7 linked regions of the Xenopus tropicalis genome follow. The protein of the gene in region 5 interacts with the protein of the main gene of each other region in a biochemical or structural test. Links are inferred from orthologs where the notes say so. Each region holds a gene or a part of one and is shown on either strand. Other genes may lie near its edges.

The links.
Region 1: the proteins of nfkb1 (region 5) and elf1 form a complex in vitro, tested with the Homo sapiens proteins (2 studies listed by BioGRID). The link is inferred for Xenopus tropicalis from reciprocal best matches to the Homo sapiens genes NFKB1 and ELF1.
Region 2: the proteins of nfkb1 (region 5) and ep300 form a complex in vitro, tested with the Homo sapiens proteins (2 studies listed by BioGRID, with this or other methods). The link is inferred for Xenopus tropicalis from reciprocal best matches to the Homo sapiens genes NFKB1 and EP300.
Region 3: of the proteins of nfkb1 (region 5) and chuk, one has a biochemical effect on the other in vitro, tested with the Homo sapiens proteins (3 studies listed by BioGRID and IntAct). The link is inferred for Xenopus tropicalis from reciprocal best matches to the Homo sapiens genes NFKB1 and CHUK.
Region 4: the proteins of nfkb1 (region 5) and btrc form a complex in vitro, tested with the Homo sapiens proteins (3 studies listed by BioGRID, with this or other methods). The link is inferred for Xenopus tropicalis from reciprocal best matches to the Homo sapiens genes NFKB1 and BTRC.
Region 6: the proteins of nfkb1 (region 5) and bcl3 form a complex in vitro, tested with the Homo sapiens proteins (2 studies listed by BioGRID). The link is inferred for Xenopus tropicalis from reciprocal best matches to the Homo sapiens genes NFKB1 and BCL3.
Region 7: of the proteins of nfkb1 (region 5) and ikbkb, one has a biochemical effect on the other in vitro, tested with the Homo sapiens proteins (4 studies listed by BioGRID and IntAct). The link is inferred for Xenopus tropicalis from reciprocal best matches to the Homo sapiens genes NFKB1 and IKBKB.

The regions. Positions count from the first base shown.
Region 1 is NC_030678.2:132,249,743-132,253,619, forward strand, and holds part of elf1 (ETS-related transcription factor Elf-1), read right to left. Parts: intron 419-3,877; coding exon 241-418; intron 1-240.
Region 2 is NC_030680.2:115,913,679-115,917,555, forward strand, and holds part of ep300 (histone acetyltransferase p300), read right to left. Parts: intron 3,222-3,877; coding exon 3,165-3,221; intron 3,058-3,164; coding exon 2,980-3,057; intron 2,896-2,979; coding exon 2,828-2,895; intron 2,737-2,827; coding exon 2,586-2,736; intron 1,571-2,585; coding exon 1,424-1,570; intron 1,339-1,423; coding exon 1,225-1,338; intron 1-1,224. UniProt on the Homo sapiens protein: Functions as a histone acetyltransferase and regulates transcription via chromatin remodeling. Acetylates all four core histones in nucleosomes. Histone acetylation gives an epigenetic tag for transcriptional activation.
Region 3 is NC_030683.2:110,575,507-110,579,383, forward strand, and holds part of chuk (inhibitor of nuclear factor kappa-B kinase subunit alpha), read right to left. Parts: intron 3,081-3,877; coding exon 2,951-3,080; intron 2,668-2,950; coding exon 2,473-2,667; intron 1,127-2,472; coding exon 1,024-1,126; intron 1-1,023.
Region 4 is NC_030683.2:30,527,776-30,532,410, reverse strand, and holds the start of btrc (F-box/WD repeat-containing protein 1A), read right to left. Parts: upstream 2,892-4,635; 5' UTR 2,866-2,891; coding exon of another isoform or gene 2,848-2,865; intron 611-2,847; 5' UTR 550-610; coding exon of another isoform or gene 531-549; coding exon 498-530; intron 1-497. UniProt on the Homo sapiens protein: Substrate recognition component of a SCF (SKP1-CUL1-F-box protein) E3 ubiquitin-protein ligase complex which mediates the ubiquitination and subsequent proteasomal degradation of target proteins. Recognizes and binds to phosphorylated target proteins.
Region 5 is NC_030677.2:73,622,966-73,626,842, forward strand, and holds part of nfkb1 (nuclear factor NF-kappa-B p105 subunit), read right to left. Parts: intron 2,957-3,877; coding exon 2,852-2,956; intron 736-2,851; coding exon 644-735; intron 323-643; coding exon 184-322; intron 1-183.
Region 6 is NC_030683.2:108,946,653-108,951,132, reverse strand, and holds the start of bcl3 (B-cell lymphoma 3 protein), read right to left. Parts: upstream 3,021-4,480; 5' UTR 1,541-3,020; coding exon 1,171-1,540; intron 1-1,170. UniProt on the Homo sapiens protein: Contributes to the regulation of transcriptional activation of NF-kappa-B target genes. In the cytoplasm, inhibits the nuclear translocation of the NF-kappa-B p50 subunit.
Region 7 is NC_030679.2:130,604,906-130,608,782, reverse strand, and holds part of ikbkb (inhibitor of nuclear factor kappa-B kinase subunit beta), read right to left. Parts: intron 3,677-3,877; coding exon 3,482-3,676; intron 2,985-3,481; coding exon 2,870-2,984; intron 2,693-2,869; coding exon 2,569-2,692; intron 2,460-2,568; coding exon 2,308-2,459; intron 1,633-2,307; coding exon 1,571-1,632; intron 1,003-1,570; coding exon 893-1,002; intron 761-892; coding exon 711-760; intron 380-710; coding exon 280-379; intron 199-279; coding exon 51-198; intron 1-50.

The sequences.
Region 1 (3,877 bases), on a different chromosome or scaffold from region 5:
TGTGACATGACTGACAGATTAGGGTTGAGGTAAAAGTAAGGAACGGGCTCCGGTGGGTGTGGGTTTTGGTTAGGGGTGAGTGCCACAGTTTTTGTGACTCACACATCACTTCCGGCAAAATCTACATGTTAGAAAAGTGAAAAAACGAGGTGTCGTATGATATTATCGGTGCGTGTATGGCCACCTTAAAGTATCTGAGGTATATCAATACTTGCTTAAGTGTGCAGCCCCTATACAAACCTGTAAGAGTAATGTCATCATCATCATCAATAATCTGTTCCTCTGCTACATCCAAGGAGTTTTCTGTAATCATGTTGTTTGGTTCATCCACACAGGTCAGACCTGAGTAGCTGTGCAGGAGATCTGCATTTGGAATGTGTTCAACAATGACAGCCGGAAAAATGGAAGGGTCTCCAAGCTAGTTGGACAAAAAAGTTTCAGTGACTTATTACTGTCCAAAACTGTAACAAGATCAGAAACGTGCCTTTCATTGCCATATTCTAGTCTAAAATAGTCTACAATGTATTTATGTAAAATGAAACCAATTCTGAATCTAAAATGAATTCTAAATCTTTATTATTTGTTTTTAGCAGAGTGGTTAATATATTTAATATTTATATGTGAGTATCATTTATTCTAAACTCAGTCATGCTGTGAGCCACAGACACATTTCACTAGCTCTAAAGGCTATCTATGGCAAACCTGTCAGTTTTAAGCTGTATTCCTGCTCTCCTGCTGAAAGTCTGGGGGTTGTGTGCTCGTAACCTCTGTCAACTTTGTTGAATTCATATCTATTTCATGACAGATTAGTAACTGCTTAACGGAGAAGGAAAGGTTCAATCACTAGAAGGTACCAAATGTTAGGTACCCCCAGTGATTGTAATCCTTACCTGCTACCCTCGGCCAGTGTGCCTGTTAGCAGAAAACAGTACTGGACCCAGGTACTTGCAAGGAGCTATCCTTTACCTGCTTCTTCTGTCTTTGCACGGGCGCGCATGTGCAGTAGACTAAAGAGACAAACTTTAATAAAAAAGATGGCTTTTTCACTCTACCGTGCATGCGTCGGCCCTGAGATTTTGAAAAAAGAAGGAAGGAAAAGAATCACTCACGCAAGTACCCCAGGCCGGTGCAGTTTTTCCTAACAGATGCACTGGCCCAGGGTATCAGGTAAGTAATTACATAATTAAGTAATTACCTAATATTTGGCACCCCCCAGTGATTGAATCTTTCCTTCTGCTATAATCATTTTATGTGACAGGTACCCTACACTATAAGCTACACTGCAGCAGTGTGGAGTTATGTGAATAATATATGTCTGCACTATATAAACAAGTGATAATAATTGTAACCTCATTGGTGTGGAAATTAGGAACAGAACTGCCATTATAATAATGGCTTGTATTACATGCTTACAAAGAAACTCTGTATGCCTTCTAGCAACTCCATTGTCTCCAGATTTTTCTTATTACTTTAAAGTAGAACTAAATCTCACCAAAGAATAAGGCAAGAAATGCTACACCCTATGCTCTGACTTCTATTCCAGCCTCAGGCTACCACAACCCTTTAGCATAAAAATTCTGCACCTCCACAGGTGCCTGCAGTAAACCCCCTTCTTTATTTATGCTGACTTGCAGGATATGCTCTAGGCTGCTGTCAGTTATCTATGCATAGGGACCAGCGCACAACATACATTTCATGATACAAGGCAGTAATTATTTCAGACTCACATTACACAACAGCATAATATCCAGTGCAATCTGCATTAGAATTAGTATTTAGCCCTTTAGCAATATTTTCTACAATAGATGAAACCTATATTTCTGCTTATGTTTTGGTAATTTAGGGCTATCCCAATGTTTTGTTTCTCCACAGCAGCCCAGACCAAACTGAGAATGTGCAGGGTCACCAACACTTTTAAGATCAGAAGATGGGAAGCTGCTGTTAACAACGTTGAAGGTACTCTGCTTAATGCTTAAATAATTTATAAACAAAAGATTGTACTACAATTTTAGATTAATTTGCTCCATGCCTTTGTCACTGAGATTTACCAGCGATTCCCTTTGTTGCTGGTGGAAAGGCATTTCGGAAAGATTAGTTGCCCCACAAAAGCAGAGATCTATCGTGGGCAACTAACAGAAAACTTCAGGCAACTTAAGCAAATCACTGCACCGTGTATGCCATCCCACCGGCGATTTACATTCCAGCCGGTGGGATGGCATTGCGGGGAGATTAGTCGCCCGCGACAACAGAGATTTTTCGCAGCGCGACTAATCTCCCCGTGTGTCATGGCCCTTAGAGGGCAGGGCCCTTTTTACCTTTTGTCATGGGTATCAGTTGTTGCTTTTTGAATAAAATCTGTATGTTCAATTGATTCACCCATTTATTGTACAGTGCTGTGGAATGTGTTGGTGCTTTATAAACAGCTGTTATTTCTTAATAAATATAAACTGAAAAGTTGTTTAGACTTTTTATTTCATTTCATCATGTAAAAAACAAATTTGGTGGAGTTCCCTTTGAAATCCTGAATGCCAAATACTGAGAGTTATTTCTGTCTATGATAATACCCATGCATCTGTAAGTAATTTTGAAATTGTTTTGCTATCAAAATAATTTTTTTGTGACATTCCAGCAGGTGGAGACTAAAACCACTTTGACCTGATGTTACAAAACAGAGTGGAAAGTCTGTTTTATGCTCAGCCTGTTGTTTTCATCATTTTCACGCTTATTACTGTCATGTATAATGAGCTGACACATTTAGCAGAGCTTTAGTGCCATTGTTTTCATCATTTTATCAGGAGCCAACTAGAGTGCTAGTATTCTTATGGGTTTAAGAGGAAACAAGAGTACCCAGAGGACAAGAACAGCAAGAATGTACAAGCTCCCTGAAAAAAAAAAGATAACCACTGCCATATTAATATTATGAGAAATGAAATAACTACAAGTATAGAAAAAGGCAAAGAAGTATCCTTCTCCAGAGACCTGTGGAAAAGTGTTTTTCTAGATTCTGGGTGGGAGCTGTATGATAGAACAGATCTTAGGGACTGAATGATTCTGGGACAAAAAAAAGAAATTCTGGCAGGCATATAGGGCAGTAAGGTTTGTGTCTTAGAGAAAATCGGTGTGAATAAATAATGTAGCTGTGCAGGAAACATGCGGCACAACCTGCTGCATCACCAGTGAGTGACGTTGGGTGGTCATGTGACAACACCCAGAAAAACAAAGGTGCTTTTGAACTGGTGCTGTAGTCACAAGTTGTTTAGAAACAAAGGCCATGGTCTTCTCTGAAACTGGGTGTGTGTAAAGGTGCAGATTACATTTTGCCTGTGGCCATATGGCGGGTCTGACCCTTGCTTTTATCTCTCAGTATTCTCCTTTCTTTTAAAGTCTTCTTATCAGCAGACTTGTTTCTTATGCAGATAAACTGCTGACCATCTCATCAGCAGCGAGTCTGTCTGTGTTTCTCATTACAGAGATCTCGTAATGATAACTTGTATGGCTGCACAGCCCACAAAAAGTTTGAAGGAAAGCAATACTGTGGGCATAATTTACAACTAAAAACTGCAGATTTTTATGCAGTAATTTATGTGACAATTTAGCGGCATGTCAAGCGATGCATTCCTCATGGGGGAAAAAACGACCTGCTTTCTACCACCCCGTCATCACTGTGTACTATAGGTTAGTACAGGTAGTACAGTAGTATAGGTTAGTGCCCACATGGGGCAGTTTTTGGCACAACATACTTTATTTAAAAAATGTGCCCTGTCATGATAGAATGGCAGAAACAAATCTGCATTTTCACCCCTTGTGTAGATACATACATAGGCTCCTGTGTATTTTTTATTATCAGATCAGATTTGAATGTCGTATTACTGTAAAT
Region 2 (3,877 bases), on a different chromosome or scaffold from region 5:
TCCGCACGCTGATACAGTCCTCCAGCAGCCCCCAAGCCTAATCCAACCTTTGCCAGAGTGGTCCTGTGCATGGGTACCAAGTTGGGCCCAGATATGCCAGTTTGCAGATCTGGCAGTTTATGGCCACCTTAACACAGACAGTGAGCAGTTTTAAAAGACAAGGAAAGCTCTAGTCACTGGGATGCTAATTTTGAACTCATGCTGACTACAATAACTTAAATCATACCCAGGCACTCATGTTCTTAGAAACAGCACAGGTTTAGGGTAACTTTCTGCACAGTGGGCATCTGCCATCTTTTGCTGCCACCCAATAGGGAAGTTCAGTCTTGCTGCAGGTGAAACTCATAACTTTTCCAAAGGGGATACCTGGGAAACTAAGGAAAGATGGCATTGGCCAGCCATGCAGAAAATGGCCCAAGCAAGTTGTGGGTAAGAGTTAGGAAAATAAAAATTCACAGTAACTCAAACCTTCTGTTCCTTTATAAAACATTAGGAACATAGACAAGCTTTGCGAGTACTGTTACAGAGGATGAGCACTCTGGTTTACAGGATACAAATCTCCCAGAACACACAAACTCTTCTCAAGCTTTGGTTTTACTGGACAAATAAGCAAATCCAAAAACACAAATGCAATGCAATTCAAAAATGCCCATACTACAACTAAGCCAACAAACCAGTGTATCTATGCACAGCCACACAGAATAAATGACTAATTTGTCTTACAAGTTGGCCTGTATGCTTGAATGTCTCACATTTCCGAGGCTTTTTATATCATTAGCTGGTGTTTCAGTAGGCGAAGATTATCCTGCTTAATCTTATTTTGTGCAACGGGCACACAGATTTCAGTCTTTAAGAAAAAAACATTTGCTTTGACTTTCAGCTTACCATTGCAAATGACAATTCCGTCCAGTCAAAATATTTTTTCAATCTAAAATTTGTTTAATGCAAGACTGCCATCATCTTTTAGTTTCATATGAGAATTCAGGCATGTCAGCACAGTGCCCAACTTGTATGCAGTCACACTTTTTTAGCAAATATGGGCTGTGAATGACCCACAGTCATTTAATGACTTGCCTCAACAGTGCATGAATGCACACTGCAATGTGATCTTAGAACCATTATGGCAGGGTGACCAGTGAGATGATGCAGAGGAGTGCCTCGCTTTGGAAGCAACCAAATGGATGATGTCCCACTATCACATACATTTTATAAATATATGCTTACCCTAGTCTCTTGACATACTCCAGATAGCCAATGAGAATTTCATGATACACAGCTGTTCTAAGGTTCTTTGGCCGAAAGAAATGTACACTGTCCAGATAGGAAATATAAACCCGCCTAAAGAGAATCAAAAAGAAAAGTTACCAACTGAACCCATACACAACTTACGTTACAGGAAGGAAGACAGACACACAAGGCCTACCTTTGATTGGGCTGGGGACAGTCAGAGCCATATTCTTGCACGTGCATTCCAAAAAAACACAGTTCAACTCCATCAACCTCTTCAAAAGCAAATAAGGCTTTTGTTCGGTATGGGAAGGATTCTGCCATCTCTCCAGTATCCACAAACCTGTTTATAAGAATAACATTTGATTTGCTTTTTTCAGTTCCTGAGTGTAACAATAATTAAGAATAATTTACAATAAAGTTTTAAACTCAGCTTACAATGTTCTAGTAATTTCTCCTTTTTTCATCCAAAATGTAAACTGCACTTGCAAAAAGTCTTTTTAACAGCCAGTTAAGAAAGTATAAAAGTCCATACCATCCTAATGGTTTACTTAAGCTGAAATCAGTTTAATATAGAACATTTTTATCCATATTTTTTCTCATATCAAAGTTGTAGTAAGCTACATTTGGGTAGATAAGCAACTGAAAAGGAGTGCACAACCTTCCTTCAACACATTCTCTGATATAGCCCAATTGCATACAGTTTAAAATATTTTTTTTTTAAGACACGTGGATTAATTGGTCAACAATGAAACCAGGGGTGACAGCTGAGTCTCCCTGATAACTACTACCACCTTCTCTTTATGTGGTGGGTTGCACATTAAGTTTGAGAAATCAGGTGCATCATTTTCCCTTCCAAGTTGAAAGAGAAACAAGGACTGTTGTCCTTGTACTCCACGATCAAGGACTTCCCTCTAGTTCCAGTAAGTTTCAGTTAACCTAGCTCAGTTTTTGCTGCTCTACCTCTTGCTAAACATTGCTTTTTTAGATGTAACACAAGGTGATGATATGTCATGGTTTCCCTGTTTCTTTTTCCCCTTAGCACTATTTACATTAATAGTTCACACAAACTTTTTTTTCTTGCAATAATGACAAAAAGGAAAGCTGTAGGCCAAATTAACACAAGTCTCCAAGGTATCTTCAGCAGCAATGAAGAACATCCCCTTATTATATTTAGATAGCAAAACAATACTATACATAAGGGTTACATATACCAACATACAAAATGCTGAACTATAAGGAAATTTACTTTTGAAAACAGATTTTATATTCAACTAGCAGAATTAAGTGTACACATAGGAATGTCCTTAAACCAAAGTGAGAGAGACTGTGACAATTCCAAAAAATAAACTGCTTACTTCGCTTTCATGCCAGGTTTCACTTCCACTGTTTTGTCAGATGCATGGACCACCCGAATAATCACCTCTCCAGCCTCAGGATTATTCTGTCTTCTCAGAAAATCATTGACTCTGTTCTCCAGAAAAGAGCCAAGCCTTGTAGTTGGGAGACCTTGGATTAAATAAATTAATTAATCTCCCAGAATAGACTAAACAAAGATATTACAATTTCTTCAGCACCAACAATGAACTGATGTACTTACGTTTGGCAGAAAATTTGTTCTCTTTCCGATTTCGACCTGTTTTCTTTAGACAGCCTTCACATACAAAGCTATGGACAGAACAAAATAAATCAGAATCAGAATGTCCTTCATCAGAGAGATCAAATAAGTTAATGCTGAAATAAGACACCTACCCCGTGGGCCAGATGGTTTCATTATGTAACACGCAGATCTGGTGCATTTTTCTACCGCACTCCAAGCACTCCACGTATCTAGAATGGAGAAGATATAACTCAGTAATTAGGAAGTTTCCCTTCCCCACATCCCAATTTAACACTCATCTAAATCTGTGGTGGGACAAATAGGAAACATCACGTACTGTTCTGGATCCAGTGTGTCATTTTTCCTTTTGGAGAATTGATCTTTGCTGATGGTTCTAAATAGCAATAACAAAAAAAAAAAAAAAAAAAAGGGAAACGCCATAAATAACATACAAAAACTAAGATCCCCAGCATTTGGAGACAGCAGCAAAAGATCAATCAAGGGAGAAAAACAAGAAAGAGGAATGGCGCAGGAAAAGAAGAAAAATCCGAAGTGAAAGAAGAACAAAACAGGGAGGGGCATGTGAACACTTGTAAAAAAGCAATATTAAGGCCAGTAATAAAAAGGAGAAATGAAGATGAGCAAAAGGAGAACAAGATTTAGGTGAAAAAAGCAAACTCAAAAAGAGGGGGAGGGGTGAGAGAAAGAGCAAAGTTAAAGCAGCTATAGTGGTAAAGCAGGGATTTAGGAGGAGAGAAAAGGAAAGTGGGATAGGAAACAAAATGCATGTATTTCTGGGGTGTAAAGATTAAAGGGAGGAAATGATAAAGAGGGTAAAGCAAGACAGCATGAAAGAAAAGAAATACTGGTTGGAGAAAAGAAAGATTAAGAAGCCTCTAATATCCCTAATCACCAATTCCAACAATGAACTAATGTACAATGCTCATGCCAACTGGAGAATTTATAATCTTACAAAGTGAAAAGTAATAACATATTACTTTATGCAGAAAAGCTTTTTGTTGCTCCAACAAACCTAATGTACTCAATACT
Region 3 (3,877 bases), on a different chromosome or scaffold from region 5:
TGCGCTAAATCCAATGCTGCTGGATTTAGGCAGAAAGTCCCCCAAAGCTGCCACCCTAGGCACAGGCCCTTGGGGGCCTACATATAAGTACAACCCTGCTGGTAAGACCCACCTAGAGAATGTAGTAAACTTTTAGTTTACAGTACACAGTTATGAAAACCAGTGACAAAACTAGAAAGAATCCAGAGAAGGACAACTAAGTTATCAAAGTAAAATGGAAAATCTCAATTCAAAAAGAGGTAAGTTTCCAATTTACATTTATAAACTATTTCTAACATGAGTTCAACATGACTTCAATCAATAGGGTTTGCCTCAGATATGTTTTGTCTAATGTTTTAATCATGAAAAATGTTTTTTATTTCTTGAGCTAAACTACATCAGACATAACTTTAGCAATGATTGTCTTTCCACCACAGGTAGGAAATGCAATATAATGTCCTTTACTAAAGTAAACACCCAGGCAGAGTGCTTGTTTTTACCTAGGAAAACTCTATATGCTTTTTTCATCAGGGCAACCTAATCTTTCTACATCTGCCTGAATGGTGTAATTTCACTTCTGTACATTAGAAGGCTTAATGATTTAGCCTACATTTTATTAGCATTTTTATTGATGTTAAATAATAAAAATCACTAATGTTAATTACCCCATGAAGACAAAAGCAGTAAAGTGGTGTCCATGTGTCTGCTGTCATCTAAGGCCCCTAGCCTTATCACACCCCAGGGGCCAATTGTTCCCCACCACAGCTTGATGTCTCGGGGCTGGGGAGCAACAGGGGGATAACAGGAAGTGCTGCAGGCCGTAGAATCTACATTCTGTGTCATATATCCACAGAACATGGCATTTAAGGGTTATATACATTTGTATTCCTTTTATTTTTTCACATCACTGGAACTTGTACACTGTTTAGGTAACAAGATTACCCGGTATCTAAACACTCAATCAAAATTTCTGTTCCTGTGGATGGCCTTCATGAATGTCAGTCTATGTGTAAATGTAGCATCTCTGCCGATATCTGTACTTACCTATGTAATTAAGGCATTCCGAGAGGCTTCTTGACTGAAATGGTCCTTCATAAACAGTCTTGCTTTTATCAAACAAATAAACCATATAGCTATCCCATCCTTTCTGCAGGGAAAGACAAAAGGGATTATATAGTTTGAGATAAAACACTTATGATTAGTTGAATCATCTAGGCTAGGGCAAGAACTGTATTTACTTACCAGTGTACAACAACTACTATTTGGTTCTCCTCTAATTCTTAAAATGCATGTTTCACATTTACACATTTTACATTTTATTAACCAAGAAAAAAAAAGCAAAAAGCCCTAGAAAAATAGCAGTAGTCCTCTTTAGGCCCTCTTAGCAAACATTATTTCTGGGCTCTCCTTCCATCACTTGTGGGACCCAGAATCCCCCTGTGCACAAACACCTGGCTTTTCAGGTATGGGCTGATCCTCCCTTATCAGGGCCGGCCAGAGCCATGGGGTTTGTTCCCTAATTGTTATTTTTAGAAATTTCATAAAAACCACAAAGTTTAGCATAGCTAAAAATACAAGCCTTGAAATTTGTATATACATGTTACTTTTTGCCATCTCTACATGTGAAATAGTTGTTTAATTCTATGCATATTGGTCATCAAACTGGTCCAAAGACCCCTGACATTCATATTCAGGATGTTTACCTTGGCATAATATGACGCGTGGGAGAAATATTAACTTTTTTGTGGCCTTACCTGTGGCTTTAAAGCTATTTTGCAACAGCTGAAATGGCATGATTGTTCACATGATTTTGTGGCCTCTACTCATATCTTTCACAGTGTTTTATTTGACTAAACAAAAAAAGCCAAAAATGTACATATTTTAATTGGGGGGGGGTGCTATGAAGGTTATTTACTATGTGCAAGGCAGGGTGCAAAAACTGACACAATCACTCATACTTTGTTTACTTTGCAACCTGCCCTATATAAAGAATATTTGCTCAGGGTCTCCGTTTTTTGATTTGGCCCCATGAATACAGCGCTATCTGTGGTTGGCAGCATTCTTGTTCATTCTTGCAGCTGGGTGGAGGGACGTAGAAGTGCAAATAAAATGTGAAAATCTACTGGTACTGATAGGGTTAAAGGAATCTTGCTGTCCTGACCAATAGAAATATTTCATTATTTTGATCATTTGTATCAAAAACATAGATGGCTTTAGAAAACCAACCTGGAAACATTTCCGAAGAAGCCTTAAATTGTTTTTCCCCCCTCCCTCACATTTTAAGCATATGATGTAATGCATTTGCTCTGATGTGAAGCACAGATCATAGAATAAACAAAAAAAACATAAAATCTGTGGCACTGGCAGTCAGGCACTTGATGGACAGAGCTGCATATTATATGATCTCAGGCTGGTAAGCGTTTAATTTATAACTTTAATTTAAAACCTAGCGTTTGATTTGGTCATTCTGATATTCTTCCATAAAAACCTTACCACTCCATCTATAACACATTGGGATGCTGGTTTTCTTGGATCAAGGGATACCCCCATCTCTAGAAGTAACTCTTGATTACATGTGCTAATGCCAGTCTCTGTCTCAATGCGAGACTGCAGGGTGTGTAGGCTCTCCTCAGGTTGCAGGTGAAAAGAATGAATCTTGGCAGATGTCATATTCAAAATGTGAACTATCTAAGAAACAGGAAGGAAAAATAGGGTTATATACACTATAATAATAACATATTTAATGCTACAAAGGAGCTGCTCCATTGGCCTTGGTAACCTTTTTTATATCAGTTTCAACTAGGTGGGCCTCCAAGTGTCACAGAACAACAGTTACGTTCTTGTTATTATCCAACAGCACAAGGATCCCCAACCTTTTTACTTGTGAGCCACACTCAAATGTAAAAAGTGTTGATGAGCAACACAAGCATGAATCACATATTTTTCAAAGAACTTCTGATATTGTTTTTACCTTCAAGTTGAGGATCTGGTCCATTAGCACAAAACATTGTGGACGACCGCAGTCCATTCCTCCTCCCCGTTGTATAGGGTCCCAGTTTAACAAAAGCTGCAACCATGTCTCTATCTTGTCTACAATTATGCTGAGGGGAGAAAAAAAGACAAGCCCTTCAACACGTTTGCCCACCTGAAACCTGCTTAACTGCAAGATGAACAAAAGGAAGATGAAAAAACCTCTATAATTTGCCTCAGGGGCAATTTCTTCCTGATGTCAAGTAAACAATTTAATTTACTTACATTTCAGTAACTTTGTATATTATCACTTTCTAAAAAGGCATCCAACCCTTTTTTGAAACTACTGAATGTATCTGCCAGCATATTAGCTCTGGTAGAGAATTCCACAAAACCCTTTCTGCATCTTAAAGGACAACTTAAGCATTTTCCTGCAGCAGCAACTAATGAGAAACTTGCAAATACATCCTGTGCAATACTAAATACACAAAAAGTCTACACCATTATTATTTTTGTGCTTCCTCCAATGTGGTGTACATGATTATATGTACTAAGCTCTGTACAGGAGGCATATACATTGGAGAAACAGTGCAAAAAACTATGCACAAGGATGAACCATCACTGACATAAGATCAAGACCAAAATATGTGATAAACCAGGGAGGCAACCATGGTCTTAAAGGAACAGTAATACCAAAAAATTAAAGTGTTTTAAAGTAATGGAAATATAATGTACTGTGGCCATGCACTGGTAAAACTGGGGTATTTGCTTCAGGAACACTACTATAGTTTATATAATAAGCTGCTGTGTAGCCATGGGGGCAGCCATTCAAGGAAGAAAAGGCACAGGTTACATAGCAGATAACAGATAAGACACCATTGTATTCTACAGGGTTTATTTGTTAGCTGCTATATAACCTGTGCCTTTT
Region 4 (4,635 bases), on a different chromosome or scaffold from region 5:
CCTAAAATATAGCAAGCACTGCCAAGTATTAGGATAAAACTTTTGCATCCAATCCATGGAAATATAGGTATGGGATCTATAAAGCAGAAATCGGTTTTCCAGAAAGCTCCAAAAATCAGACAATCCCATATGCCATAACACCTTTTTCAAACAATTGTTCACATTTGACTGATTCGCTAGTCTCTGAAATAAGTCAGTACCCTGTACTTGATGGTAACAAACCCTTTGGAAAGCAATCCTAATTTGTTTTTTGGTTTTTTTTTTTTTAAAAAGTTTAGTAGCTTCCACATTTAGGAAAAAACTCAGGTCCCAAGCATTCTGGATAACATTTCCCATACCTGTAATGACTTATTTTTAAATTTTTAAAGAAAACAGAACAAAACATTTAAACCATAAAAAGAATGATTAGAAAAAACTAAACAAAGCTAAATCAAATTGTTTTTGTTCACAAAAATAAATAAATAAATAAATCAAAAGATAAAAATAAAAGTTCTTACTGGTGGCTGAAGAGAACATGAAAATCCTTCCATCTCAGTCCTTTTCCAGTTACTGTTTAGAGTTTATATAAATTGTTTCTTAATTAAGTCTCAATGTTATGGTTTCATATAAGCTGATTCCAGAAAATAAAATGATCACAGTTAAATCATTATACCAGAGGTAGTAAAAGGCTATAACAATTGATTACACTTTAAACAAAGACTTCACTTTATAATTAAAAAGTTAATCTGAAAATGCATTGAAGGAACAATCAAATGGAACTAGTAGTGTGAGTTTGAGCTTTCCCACCCACAAAGGTATTGGGCTGAGGGGGGGGGGCATTAACCAGGTTGTTTTGTTGGGCTTAAGTGAGGACTGACAAAGCACTTAGTACATGCCTTTGGAGCAAAGCTATATTTTCCCAGCACATTGGTCAATTCTATCCATCTGAGTGTGGGCAGATCCTATGAAGTTTTCAGGCATCCATGGACTACACAATCCCTAGAAAAGGCCATATAAAACCCTTGAGTCTCTTAGTTGGGTCTTTCCATGAAGCAGGTTTTTTTTTGTTTTTTTTTTTTAATTCCATATGTTCATGTGCTAAATTATATTCATGTTTTAAAGTACAAGGAAAGGTGGATTCACTGAGAGTTAGTATGTTAGCCAGGCCTGGATAAGAATTAAAAATAGGCCCTGACCTATCCACAAATTGCTAGTTACCCAAGTGAATCCAATCACTACATATTTTAGAGATGCACTGAATCCACATTTTATTTTTATTTGGACAAATCCCAAATCTTTCATGAGGGATTCAGGTGAATCGCTAACCAAATCTGAGCCCTAAATTGCATATCCAAATTAAGATAATGGGAAAAACATGCACATATAGCGCAAGTGAATTTGTGATTTCCTTAATCGAGTGACCTAAAGTCAAGTGATTTCAAGGGTTCGAATTCAGTTTGGCAAGACATTTGGATTTGCCTGAATCCAGCTGAAAAAGGCTTCGAACCCTCAAGTTTTTTCCTCATGCCTGTGCTACTTTAAGAAAAAAAAATGTACCAAAATGTAAACAAAACACTGCACCGCCATCTTATCTTATTGCCAGGCATGGGCATAAACAAGTACTAGAAGCCTGGAATAGCACTGGGGTGCTCTGGTAGTTCTTTTACCCTGCTCAGTGCAATTTTTTCAAAAAAGGAGCACCCAGTAAATCCCATTACTAACATATTGGCACCCGCAATGACTCCACCTTTCCTGGGCCACAGAAATTCCTTTGCAGTCACCTTAAAATTCTGACGATATATATTTAAGGCTAGTTCCTTAAAACACACCTTTTTACGCGTATTAAAATAAACAAGATATTTGGGTTATTTAAAGACTCCACCGGTGCAGGTTTTCCAGATATAATCACTTGAGAACAGGTGAATAAATCAGTGGATGAGCTACTGAAGCCACCAATGGACTGGCCTTGTTCTATTGCTGCTTAAATCACGGGTTCCTATTTTCCATGAGATTGAAGCGGAGTGTTTCATAAAATATAATTGTTATGAGCAAAGGGCAAACCTTTGCCTTTTGTTGGACCACAACTCCCAGCATCCCCAAAAGGCAGGAAGCTAGGAACTGTTCTAGGAGATGAGCCAGGTGTGAAGTGACTACCATACTAATTAAAATTTGGTGGTGGACAAGTAGCATTCCACTGAAAGGAATGATATTATATATATATATATATCTATTATAATTACCATCAAATGCTTCATGTATCACCCACAAGCACCCTTGGCCTGTAGTGAGTGCAATATAAATGTGCAATTTTAAAAAGGACCCCACATCCAATTGGATATGCTGCAATGCCTATGTGTTGAGACTGCGCCACTGCAGTGCCGATTAACTACAATTCCCACCATTCTCTCCCGGGAATGACGGGATTTGTAGTTCAGTAGGGGCTGAGGGCCTAGAATCGGACATCCTTCCCCCAAGATAATATAGTTTCCTATCACAGCCCGATATAAGCTCCATAGCGCTGAGGGTATTGTTATATAGCACCGCGGATCGTCAGCCATACCACTCCCAGCAACCCCAGGCGGGCTCCGCGGCCGGCGATATTGGAAGTGGTAGTTTAACATCGGCTTGAGATCCGCAGGCAGAACATCAATGTATAATAGTAATAAGAGTACAAAGAGGACAAAGCAAATACGCAATCAATGCAGCCGGTGATACCCGACAGCCCAGCTTGCACAGTCACCAAGCCCCGACATATTTACTTATAAGCGCGTCTCACAAACGCTCCCCTAAACCCTACAAACCCATCAATATCGCATTAGTACAGCTAAATAGGCTTATCTAGAGCAAATTTTCTATCGATGATATTACCTTTTTATAAGATGCCATCACCCCCAGTACACCCTTATTCAGAGAGGTACTTCCTCATCCGATGACATCATAGTCACATGGTTCCCTTAACTAAGAACGCTACGGCGGCCCGCAAGGAACAAACGTCAGAAAAAAATCGAAGTTGACATCTTTTTAAGACTATATATTCCGATTAAATTTGCATACAGGGTCAGCTCCTCGTGTTTTTCGGAAACTTGTTTTAATCACTTTTTGTCGTAAGAACGATACACAATGATTCATTGATAAGCACTGTAAATACATACGGAAATGGCATTCGTGGCCTGCTCCGACTGATGTGTGTAGAACGTGTAATCAGTGGTTTCCTTATCTGAAATAGCTTGTAAACAATAGACGGATCAGCTTTCATGTATGTGTGGAAGCAGCCAGAAGCCTAGTGTTAGAGGGAAACGCCCTTTTTAACCCTCTTCTGGTATCTTGCTCATAGTAAATAGTGCAGTTAACAAAGTAAACAAAACTAGGCAAATATACAATTATACTGCACAGTTGCTCCCTGTTCTTTATTTGTAATGTGAATCTAATGTTCTAATGTGTATCTCAGTCCTGGGAATTATCCAAAATGTTCAATTAGGGCAGTGCACAAAGGCATTTGACTGGCAGAAAAAGCAGTGCAACTACATTTATGTTATTATTATTATATATTTAAGAAGTAGGGAAGGGTAAGAGATTATGCCCTAGTAGAAGGTCAAGGTTGAAAGTGTGAGGGCAGAGCTATTCAGTTAGCATGAGGACAGAGGGCTAGCGAGCCATAAGCCCCAGTGAAGGTGGCCATACTCTATAGGATCTGCTACTCTGTTGATGCTGGCAAAAAAGCAGATATTTCCCTTGAAATACCCACCTAAGGTGAGCAACATCGGCGTAACCGGATCGTTTGACCCTCGTGCCAAATGATAAGATTACAATGATGGGAATGAGAGCCACAAGGACCACGTGAGTGGCCACCTTTAGTGGGACCCAAGAGTCAGGGTAGAACTAGGGGCACATTTACTAATCCACGAGCGTCCGAAAAGCGTCCAAATGCGTTTTTTTCGTAATGATCAGTATTTTGCATTTTTTCGGAAAATGTTGCAACTTTTTCGTAGCCGTTACGACTTTTTCGCATAATGTCGCAACTTTTTTGTAGCGTTACGACTTGCGCAAATTGTCGCGACTTTTTCGTAGCCTTTGCGCCGAGTACGAAAGTTTCGGATTCATTCAAGCTTCAGTATCGTGACTTTTCTTGGGCCAGGTTGGAGCTGCAGGATGCCATTGAGCCCTATGGGAGACTTTCCTTGGGCCGGGTTGGAGCTGCAGAGTGCCATTGAGCCCTATGGGAGACTTTCCTTGGGCCGGGTTGGAGCTGCAGAGTGCCATTGAGCCCTATGGGAGACTTTCCTTGGGCCGGGTTGGAGCTGCAGAGTGCCATTGAGCCCTATGGGAGACTTTCCTTGGGCCGGGTTGGAGCTGCAGAGTGCCATTGAGCCCTATGGGAGACTTTCCTTGGGCCGGGTTGGAGCTGCAGAGTGCCATTGAGCCCTATGGGAGACTTTCCTTGGGCCGGGTTGGAGCTGCAGAGTGCCATTGAGCCCTATGGGAGACTTTCCTTGGGCCGGGTTGGAGCTGCAGAGTGCCATTGAGCCCTATGGGAGACTTTCCTTGGGCCAGGTTGGAGCTGCAGAGTGCCATTGAGCCCTATGGGAGACTTTCCTTGGGCCAGGTTGGAGCTGCAGGGTGCCATTGAGTCCTATGGGAGGCTTCCAAAATCATGCT
Region 5 (3,877 bases):
TGTATCAATTCAACTTTGTATATGGCATATTTATTCAAGCATTTCTAAATATGTATGAAAGACAATGCACCACCCTAGTGTAGGGAATAAATAATTAAACATAGGCAGTTAATAATACAAATAGTTTTAAAACATGCCAAAGTGGCACTTAACAAAAACTTCCAAATATGTATCAACTCTTACCTTTTATTTCTGGGTAGTAAAGAAATGGTTTGGGTTCACTAGTTTCGTAATCTGACTTCCTCCGAAGTTGAACAAACACAGACGCTGCCTTTGTAATATTTACATCCTTGTACTTTGGGGTTTTGAAGACAATAGCAAACTTAAAGAGAGAGGGAGAGAGATAAAGAATAAAATAGGACTGCTAATGTATATAAGCCTTTATTTAATGGGAGAGTGACTTGTTCCCCATGGAAGATATGCAGCTATGGCACCTCTTTGCTAGAGACAGACATGCTGTAAACATGATGCTTCTCTGAGCTCATCCCATTACAGTATTTAGGTTATACTACACAATGTCAGCCAGTACACAGAATCATGAACATATTGTAATCATATATACAATCTGATATTTTATAGTTGCTTTAGTAAAAATAATTTTCTACCCTTGTTAAGGTAATTTTGTTCCAGATAAAACATATACCTGTCTATGAACATCAGTAGGTGAGAAATCTCCAAATCCTTCCCAGAAGCCTCCATTTTCATCCTCTTCATAGAAGCGGACTTGAATATCGTCTGTAAGCGAGGAAAAGAAAATGTCTCTATTCACATAAACATGTGAAATGATAGAATACAGCCAAGTGGCCAAGTTATAGTTTACTGTGTTGTGCCAGGCCCTGACTAGCAATCTGTGGATTCTGGCAATGGCCAAAGGGCTGCTGTAAGATGCCTTAGACTGTCACTAATTATGGGGCCTGTGGGGGGGTGTTTGGGACACTGTGTATTTGAAATGCCAGGATCTATTTTGAATCTCAATCTGGTCCTCCCTGTGCTGCTGGGACCACAGAAAATATTATTCAATTGTTTTAGGTTATGCAGTGATTATCGAACTGAAATGTGTAAAACTAGAAAAACAATACAGGTAAGGGATCTCTAATGTAGAATGCTTAAGACCTGGGTTTTTAAGGTAACTTAAATCTAATTAATAAAAACAGCAGGAGTTTTTCCAACAGCATAAATTTAAACTAATTTAGGATAATGTACTAGGCCCTTTTTTAATTACAAAGATTGCATTTTTAATTATTTTAATTATTATTTGCTTATAATTGACTGTATGGAAGATGGCCTTCCTTTAAGCTGGCCATACACGTGGCGATCTAACGATGTTTCGTGCGACCATTGGTCGCAGTCAGGGCCGAAACAGCAGATAAGGAGGTAGAAACAATAGGATTTCTACCTTCTTCTGCCGATTCAGCCCTGACGGCAGATTTTGGTCAGGCGCCTTCTATGGCGCCCGATCAAAATTTTCTAACCTGGCCAATCGGCGAGTCGTCCGATATCAGCAGCTTCCTGCGATATCGGTCGACTCGCCGACATGCCATACACGCACTGAATATCGTACGAAACGAGGTTTCGTACGATAGTATCGGTGCGTGTATGGCCAGCTTTAGAGTTTTCTAGATATCAGGTTTCTGGATTAGGGATCCTATACCTGTACTTAGATAGCATTATAATAGCACTGCTCATATCTTATCCATATCTGATTCTCTTAGTAATCATTTACATTAAGCTGCAATTGCATTTAGAATACGCAAAAACATTTCACTTCCATTTCTTCTTATCTAATTTCCATTACCGGTACTCATTTCATTCTGCTATACCAGTGCTTCCTAAACTATGAGTCTTCCATACCCTGTCAACAGGGTCACAGGGCAAGCACTAATATAAAGTGTTACCATTAACATCCCAAAATCTTCCTACCAACAGCTGTTTTCTGCAGCACCTCCTTATATGCAGACCTAGGCCAGGCTTTTACCCTGGACCCCTGCCAAACATAGCTACAAAAGAGGCAGTCCACTTTTACACCATGATTATCATGGTCATGAGCTTGAAAAGCCCCATGACACTCTGCCCCATGCAGGCCCAGATTAGTATCTACAAAACTTCTCATTCTTTGGTTGTGGTAGAGGAGGAAGCACAGCTGTAATAAGCTGAATCAAACCAATCTAAAGCACATTTTCCAGTACACTTACAAACATAATAAAACAATAGACTCACTAAACTGTGCTAAAACCCAAGTGACATACAAAACATGTAAAAAGGGACAAGCTAAAATGAAACCACCCACACATGCTCTGCCAGTCCGGCTTGCATTACGTCATCTCTGATGTTTAACGTGAAGTTCCTCCAGTTCAAAATTTCCTCTGACGAAGCAGCAGAAGTAATGTAAATGATAAGTGAGGTTTCTGGACGGCTGCCAGTGTTGTCTTATTAAAGCATTTTTGTATGCTTTAGTTATATATTATTTTGAGATCATCATTTGTAGCTAATTTAGTATTTTTAGAGTATGATTGGGAGTAGCTATATTCCACAGCTGAATTTTTTTTTAACATGAGATAATAGCTCAACTTTCCCTCAAACATTTTACTATAATTTTGCAAATGCAGATGTGTTTCGGATGTCACAATACTTAGCTTACTGAAAACGAGCTTATATACAAAACAGCAGGATATACACTATTGTGAAACGATTTCAGCAGGAAGCATAGCCAGCAAGTTACAGTTACTAACATCTTCATAGCCATGTACACAATAATAGAGGCAAAGCTGGACATGAAGTGCCATAGTTTTACTTTGTCATTAAAAAATGTCAAATACAATGAGTTCTTTTTGGTTCCAGATAATTGACATACCTTTCTGCACTTTATCACACAGGAGGTATACTTCTTCCCCTCCTGTCACACAGCCTGCAGTCCTGTCCATTCGCACGATTTTCAGATTGGATGCATTGGGGGCTTCTAAAAAAAGGAAAGTGGTATACCAAAACTGCTTATTATACCAGCCCTTTTAATTGCCTGGGTAACAATACAATGAGATTTCCCAGGCTGTTACATCACCACATGCATGTGCTAAAAGCATTTTATGTTTAACCTCCTATGAGGAAGTAATATTTATAGGTGTCAGTTCTTCTGTTACACGGGTTACTAATATAGCATCTGATCAGAATGAAGAAAATTTAAAAAAAAGTTCAACAAGAAAAGCTGGTGACACAAGATGAATTTCCCATGTCTGACCTTACATGTAGATTCCTTGACTTCTGTCTTCATACTACATGCATTCAGCATGCACATTAACAACTACAACAATGGCAAATATACTGATCACATAGGACTGGACTGCATCTTAAATAAATGTCTAAGCAAAGCTATACAAACACAGTAAACATACAAACTAAGAGAAAAAACACTGCAATAAATAAATATAAATAAACAGAGTTACAATGATTAAGGGGGCCATTTAATAATGGTGGGATTTTTTTAGTGCTAAAAGTCGCAAAAAAAAAACACCTTTTTCAAGATTTTCTTGAAAATTCCCCAGATAAACCTTTTCGAGATCATGTAGAAGTCAATTGCAGATGTCCCTTCCCTTTCCTGGATCCTTCTTTGCTTCAAAACTTTAGAGGTTTTCTAATTTTTGACGCTAGTTTTTTATATGACAATTCGAAAAAGTAGAGGTTGCGATGTGACAATTCAAAAAAGTTGCAGTTTCGTGACTTTTCTGCAACTCTTTCCTGCACTGACTTTTTCAGTTCAGACTTTTTAGCAAATGTCAGACGTTTGTGAAAATGAGTTTGTTTAAATTTTGAAATAAAAAAAAATGAAAAAAGAGTTTTAGTAAATCTGCCCCTAAGTGTCATGTGCTAAAAGACAAAGGGGAAG
Region 6 (4,480 bases), on a different chromosome or scaffold from region 5:
TAAGTCATTGATATTGTTGGGTAGCTTGTGGTGGTTTTGACACTGTAGGGTTGATTCACTAAAGTGTGTTAATTTTTATAGCATGCTTTTTTGCGTTAAAATAGACGCGAAAATTATGCATGATACGCTACAGTATTACCGTGTGCGTTAAGTTGCATATCGCATGCGTTAAATTTTGTGCTACCGCATGCGTTAATTTGCACGCAGAAATGAATACTAACGCATGATTCAGAAACACTTAGACGCGCTAAATATTAGTCTGTGCGAAAGTTAACACCTACTTGGGGCAGGCGGTAATTATAGAAAAGTACAGTTCATGAGCTTTTGGCAACACAATATGGACTTTGCAGTGGGATTTATTCAAGTCTGTGTTGGCCCTAGAGTGATGCAGCCTCCAGTTTGAAGGGAAATGGGCATTTTCAGTACAATAATTTTCCGAAAGTATTGGCATGTATGGCTAATATGGCGTGCGTTTTTTCGCACGCGGCAACTATTTATACGCGGTGCGTTGATTAGCACTCGTTCCATCAAATACCGCATGAAAATAGTCTTCGCGACTTTTGTGACGCTCACAAACAAATGAAGTGATATACCAAGCAGCATTCGGCTTCTATTGCTTTAGCGATACAAGAGCCTGGGTCATTCTTTAAAAGAGTGACGCACAGATAAAGGGTTTAGTTTAGCAAAGAACCTTGTACAAATCCAAACCCCTAATGTCACATGACCTAAAAGACTTGATCCACTCAAGGTGTTTTGTATTTTTTAAACATATGCAATTTTGATGATTGTCCTCAAATGTGAGAAATCTATTGCAAAGGGTTGAGGAGCCAAAGCAACCAATCAGCTATTAGCTTTTTATCGTCTACAAATAAAACAATTGAAGGAAATGCCTATTTTGTTTGCTGTGTTTTCTTGCCCAGTATTAGTATATGAGCCCCAGTGGCAGTTCCCAGGGTTTGGGGATATAAAGCATAATGGGGATATTCTGCATTAATAATGGGGAGAGGCTTGGGCCATTACATGAGGCAGAGAAAATGAAAGAAATCACATGTGTATTTTGATCAAATAAATCTCAAGCCTATATCTATTATTTCTTCTTATCTTATTGTATCTTATATAGTTCCTCCTTCATTCACCAATTCACCTCATCCTTTAAGAAAAGGGAGTTACCTTGATAATAGCCTGGCAGTGCAAAGGCCATACATGGAGGGTGGTACCTCTTTGCCCACTCTAAGCTCCTATCTGTCCGTTTGACAAAGTGCCCCTCATGTTCCAGAGGCGGCTGGTACCTTCGCTTTCGGATGGGGAGACAGGCTTGGTCTTTGCGCAGTCCCTCCAGTGACTCACTGGGGCCCTCTGCCGGCAGCTCCACTTCTTCCAGCTTCACGGCTTTCAGACTTTCAGCAGCCGCTGTCCAAGAGCGAAGTCCCGGGGGGCTGTGTGCGGCGCCCACACTGGCCAAATCCATTTTCCTGCGGGTACTAAGGTCCAAAGGAGAGGCCTCCATGCCTCCATTGCAGGGGCTTTTAGGGGTGCCCATTGGTCAGAATGGCTGTTCTTGACACCCCATGCAGATGTAATAGTCAGAAAGCAGAGGGCAAGTTGTTTCTGTCCTTCCTGTGCTTGCCCCTAGCTGCCCTCCTCTTGCCTCCAGTCACTCCTCCTCCCTTTCCTTTGCTTTACTGCTTTCCACCCTTTTGTCAGGCTCACTGCAATGTGTAGGTTATTTCTACCTACCTGTGGGTCCCTCCAGCTATACCACTCTGTTGGTCTGTCCCTCCAGCTATACTCCTCTGCTTGTCTGTCCCTCCAGCTATACCCCTCTGTCAGTCTGTCCCTCCAGCTATACCCCTCTGTCAGTCTGTCCCTCCAGCTATACCCCTCTGCTTGTCTGTCCCTCCAGCTATACCCCTCTGTCAGTCTGTCCCTCCAGCTATACCCCTCTGTCAGTCTGTCCCTCCAGCTATACCCCTCTGTCAGTCTGTCCCTGCAGCTATACCTCTCTGTTGGTCTGTCCCTCCAGCTATACCCCTCTGTTGGTCTGTCCCTCCAGCTATATCCCTCTGTCAGTCTGTCCCTCCAGCTATACCCCTCTGTCAGTCTGTCCCTCCATCTATACCCCTCTTGCTTGTCTGTCCCTCCAGCTATACCTCTCTGTTAGTCTGTCCCTCCAGCTATACCCCTCTTGCTTGTCTGTCCCTCCAGCTATACCCCTCTTGCTTGTCTGTCCCTCCAGCTATACCTCTCTGTTAGTCTGTCCCTCCAGCTATACCCCTCTTGCTTGTCTGTCCCTCCAGCTATACCTCTCTGTTAGTCTGTCCCTGCAGCTATACCCCTCTGCTTGTCTGTCCCTCCAGCTATACCCCTCTGCTTGTCTGTCCCTCCAGCTATACCCCTCTGTCAGTCTGTCCCTCCCTCTCAGCTATGTCTCAATGTACTGATTCTGCTGATACCTGTATATATCTGTCTCTCTGTCCTAATACCTATTTGACTATATCTGCAGTTTCATTTTGTGGGCTCTAATATGCGGTTCTGTAGATATCTATGTGCCCATATATTGTACCTGTTTAACTGTTCTGCCCCTGTACCTGCCACACTAATACCTGTGCCTCTCAGACACCTGCACTGTCAGCCTGTTCCCCTCATTAGGAACCCAACATTCTCCATCTCTTTGAAATGCCTTTTTCTTTTAGGTGTCTCCCCGCCACCCTATGTCCTATCAGATCTGTTTCTCCCTTCAGCCCCCAGTGCCTGAGCCTCCACTTCTCTCTAAGCCCAATGTGAGCCTTCCCTTAGCTAGAGACCCCCTTTAAATTCTGCAGCCCTGAAGCTCCCCCTCCATGTGCTAGTAGTTAACTTTGTAGCTGAGTTGCTTTCCTTGCACATTGCGCTGGCTTTTGCACTCACACCCCCTCCTCTTCATTTTTTCCCACACTTGTCTCAGGCTTTCCCGTCCCTTCTCACTCCCCCGGTGTCCCCCCTGTCTCTAAGCAGCAGCAGCAGTCTCACTCTGGCTGGCAGTTAGTAGGAAGCAGCTCTAATGCAGGGACTTCCCCTCTGTAAGATAACACACCCAGGTGCTTTTTTGCCCTGTTCCCTGAAGGTCCCCTCCCCCAGAGACAAGCCAGGAAGCCAGGAGGGGGTCACCCGGTTGTATAAACCGCTCCCTTTGACTCCTCCTTTAGCTTGTTTCCCTCGCCCTGTGACACATACACTTCATAGCATTTCCTATTACTCAGTTTGGCAAAAGCCAAAGATTTTTTTTTTTTTGCTTACATTGTGTTTGAGATAATTACATCCTCATTATATGCACTATTCTTCCAGTAATCTACCCTCCAAAATGACCTACTATGCACCCTGTACTTCTCCATATTACCCCCTGCACTACAATCCCTACTCCGAGCTCAGTCATGCCTCCCTACATCCCTACATAAGGGACCATTAAGGGAAATTGTGCGTAGCTGTGCTGAGATCTCGGCTGCCCCATTGGTGCCCCTTGCAGCAGGTGATTTGCCACCCATGCAGTTCCCAGCTCAGCAGGACATGGATTGAACACCCTGAACCCCACAGGTGCACTCAAGGGTGGACCTGTAAGAAATACAGCACTGGACATTTAAAAGAACTGATTGGCTCACTCATAAGCAGTGATAATAAATACATTCTGTGTGTGCAGATTTACAACACAGGCACCCCCCTGAATTAGATGGATTCTGTTCTCTAGCTAGCCTTGGTTACTGCTACCATGGCCTTGAAGACAGAGCCACCTGTTTGGCTGTAAGAGTTATTTGTTTTCTGTGCTGTGAAGAGTTATCTCTGTTCTCTCATTAGTAACACCTATACTCATACATTCTTATGTTGTATGCTCTTGTGTTACAAAGTCTACAAAAACCCTGTGCTGTCTTGGTTCTGTAGTTCTGACTCTTGGCTTTGTTCAGAACCCAAGTATGTATCAAATCCCCCCCACCCTGCACATACTTTGTTTTCTCTGTTGCAGCCTCGATTGAGGGGGAAGGTCATGGGGGAATGCTCAGGGTGTCAGGCTTGGAGCGGATCTGGGTTGGTGGGGACCCTATTGTTTTTTTCCTGGTGTCCCACCAGAGAAGTCTGACCTTACCCATAAATGTACCAGCAGGATCCAGGTGATTATTATTAAAGTCATTGGTGGGGCACCTTTGGGAAACACCCAGTCTGCAATTGACCTAATGAACAGCCTTTGGGGTGTTTGACCTGTTTGACTACTCAAGGCACCAGACAGAAGGGAGACAAAAGACTTGCCTTGATTCTTATATAAAAACTTGAAACGTCAATAATATGAGCTTTGTATATTTAGTGAAAAGTAAGTTGGTTCCCTTTTGTGTGCCAGTTTACCTTGTATTTTAAAGTAGGTGGTAAATCAAGGAAGCACTGTAACTGATAGACTTTATAGCCTGCCTTTAAAATTGTTGAGGGGTGTCCAGATGCGTGTGGTTGTGCCCTGCTA
Region 7 (3,877 bases), on a different chromosome or scaffold from region 5:
TCCCGTGGTCTTGTAATATATATATATATACATACACACACACTGCTTACACAAGCAATCTTTAGCAGGTTCCACAGCTCCTGCTGTCTCTTCTCTTGCCTCTTTACCACCATTTTTTCATCTTCTCTCATTAGGTTCATCACCTCTTTCACCTTTGGGGATAGTTCTAGGGCTTTGTGCTTGCACGCCACAGTCTTACTGCAGGCAGATGGGAAAGGAGTCAGTAAAGCCGGCATGAAATCATGGAGATGAGAAGGATAAAAGGGAGCTGCCACAGACCTGAGTTGGTCATATATAAGGATGACTCTCTTCTCGAAGCTCTGGATGGCTTGAATTAGGAGGCGCACCATTTCATTGCTGTCTCCTGCTGTCCTTTGATCTACAGGTAAAAAAAATACATTGGTGCTGGGTTCCTAGAAATAAATTTACGTTTACGTTTAGAGCAAGTCAGATCTTCTCGGTAAGTCCAATATCCTTACTACATGTCACATGGAGTTGAGCATGTTGAAACTACACTTCCTGAGTAACTAGCAGGTAGCCTAAATACCATGATAAATTAACAGAGTCAGGTTTCTGGTGCTAAACCGCAAGAAGGGTTATCTAGCCCATCGTATTCCCGTCATATTTAGTAATACAGACTCTTTGGCCCTAGAGCCAAATACAACTAGTAAGGGGATTATTTACCCATATTTGCAACAATAACTGCTTACCTCTAGGTCTCTCCCGTAACCGCCGATATAAATCTTTAGCCTGTTCTTCTCTGGCAATAAAAGTAGAAAACAATGTTTTATTTAGACCGTCATAGAGAACAGCCAACCCCCAACACAATTTACAGAACACTTCATATGATGACATGAAAGTACAATGGCTGAACAGTTTCCACCTCACTCACAGGTCATCCAGTGTCCCTCGGTGTTTCCTGCCTAATGGATTTCTCTGCAGATCTACACTGTCTGTTTGTAAAGCCATCATTTTATCCACAAGAGCCTGCACTTCCCTCTCCTACAAAAGAACAAAAATGTAAAGAACTTAAAACAAAGGAAAATCCAACACACAGTGGTTGAAAAGGTAGGTAACCTTGTTTCGCAGCAATGAGCAATTGATTTCTGGGCTTCTCTCTTGCCTTATGATCTGGCAGGGGGTAAAAGTTGGGGTCTGACATTAAGAGCTGACTGGGGTTTACTACTACACTGATCTCCAGGAAGCTCAATAAGAACTCTCTTTAGGTTCCAAAGCTAAAGCCCTCCTTTACCCCATAAAGATCAATGCAATGGGATATACTGCATTTTGGGAAAAGAGCAGCCCATAACCAAACAACCTGGATACATTTAAACAATGCAGACTGCGGATATTTGGGTGCATTTGTAATTAGACCAAATTTGTAATTACAATACACAAGCCCAAACCGCAAATGGTTGCTATGGGGGAAAAAAGCAGTGCACTGGTTTTGCCCACGGTGCCCCTTTAAGTAATGGAGCCCGAGACCCTAGGGTACATATATTCACATAGCACGTTTAATTTATGGAGTGGGCTTTCGAGTATCATTATCCCATTTCATCTCATTCCTTACCCTGCCGCACAGTTCCACTGTTTGCTCCGTCTCTCTCCAGGCTGACAGGAGCTTTTCAGAAGCTGCGAGAAAGAAACATTGTTCATATCATTAACAGGTAATGTAAAGGTGAACGGCTCCTTTAATAGATATCATTGATGATAAGGTGATGTGTGTGAAGTAGGAACCCATATAAAGGCTCAAAATACAAGGGCTAGACCCTGGCCTACTAAGTCTCATCCTGCAGACTGTATGGCTAAAAGCAACAGTAATAAAGAGAAATTTGCTCTTTTATGAATATGCTATTTCACAATAGTAACACTGCATGGTGCAGATTTTGCCCTGTTCACATTTCACAAGTTCAATATATAAAAACTGGCATTTCTAGACATATTCATTTTTAGGGTTTAGTTCTCCTTTAAATCTGCATATAACAGAACGGGTACCTTCCGTATCCTAAGCAGAGCTTTAATTTTATCTTAATGCTGTAAACTAAGAGGCCATAGTTTGATATGCACAGATCATTCCTCTGTGTAAAACTGTATTTATACAGAAGACTGGAAGCTCCCATACTGCTTGCTGTTAATACAGAAAGCCATTTATGATGACTATGAATGCTGTTTAGTGGTTGTCTAAAGAAAAAAAAAAAAAGCTGTGCATAATAACAGTGTGTCAGAGGTTACAGCAAAGTCAATAAATCACTATAGTTCTCTTTACTAAGCAATAAAAGTCGACAGAGGGCCCAGCCAGTAACTTACTGATTCCAAACTCCATCTGTTCACTGTATTTTTCTAGATCAATCTGGATACTGTTCCGGAAGAAATCCAGTTTGGCCTTTAGCTGCTCAAACTCAGAAGTCATGAGGTTCTTCTTTTTGGAAAGTTCAGTATTGTATCGCAGCAGGTTTACCCTACATAACATAGAGATATGCCCTCAGCACTTATGCATAATACATGGAGAAACACACATCTGCCACACATACTGTCTGTCCCACCCACACGCAGAGCTCTCATACTCACATAAAGGTACGCTGCCCATGAAGCAGACGGGCACAATCCTCTTTCATCGCTCGTATTGTCTGCCAGGTCTGCCCCCACACGCGGCGAAGGTGGGTGTAAGTGAGGGGCCGCTTGGGATCCTGCACTGGAATAGAATTAAGTGCCACAGTGTCACATCACCATCAACAAACCACAAACCTCAGGATTAGACAGATGTATAAACCCTGAAGGCATAGGCAAACGTCTGAGTCCTCAGGCAAGAGGAATATACATATACATGTATATCCCTTGCCATTACAAGCCAAATATCAGTGGCACTCACATATAACGGTGACACTCTCGGGATGTGCCGGCAGTGATATCTGGGGCTCATATACAGTCTTCCGGTTATCAAATAGAAATATCAGATCACCCTCGCCCTGGCGCCCATCATTGACCTGTAGACAAAAGCAAATAAGACACTTATTGATTAAAATAATTCCAGTTTATAGACAACAAAGATATTGGCCTATGACCCTCAAGCAGTTACAACTCCCACCAGCAGCCAGCATCTTATATGGCAAGGTCAGATCTAGAATGCAAGAACAACTGCAGGTGGAATGAACTAGAACAGTTGAGGGTTTTACTACACTTGCTGTACTGAAAGTAATATGAATATTTGAATCTGTATATTGCACTTAAGAGCTGTAATTAAGCAGTGAAACATATGCCTATATGGTCACTCTCTGAAGTCAAAAAGACAATGGTTTTCCTTTCATTAACAGTTCCACCAGATACTGTGACCTGCAAAGAAAGGCTGCTTACAGAAATATAATTTAAAGTTGCATTTTAAGTTGAACCACACTAGCCTTGTGTCACATGACACAAAACATTTTTTTTGCCATATTTGTGCTTTCATAATGTCATTTTGCGGTGAGCATGAGAAGACTCTTACCGTGCAGTCTACCACAAACTGGGTTAGAGGCTGGGCAGGATTAAGGGCCAATCCTGATGCCTGCAATAGTTCCTGCTCTTCCTCAGGAATCCCTGTGTCTTGCTCCAGGCGACTCTTCAGATTCTGCAGGTTTTCATTCTCTGACACCGGGTAAGTGTGCACCTTGCCAGACACCATGTTCAGTACAGACAACAGCTGGGGGGATATATACACATGTACATCAATATATCAGCAATAACATATATGTTTATAAAAACCTGTGATATATATCCTTATAAGTAGTGCTTAGTGAGGTTATCATATATAAATCACCCATAGCCCATTGAAACGTGTATTAAAAAATAAGCAATCCCCTGCTTCAACATTTAGGAACATTAGAAACCACCTTACATGGTC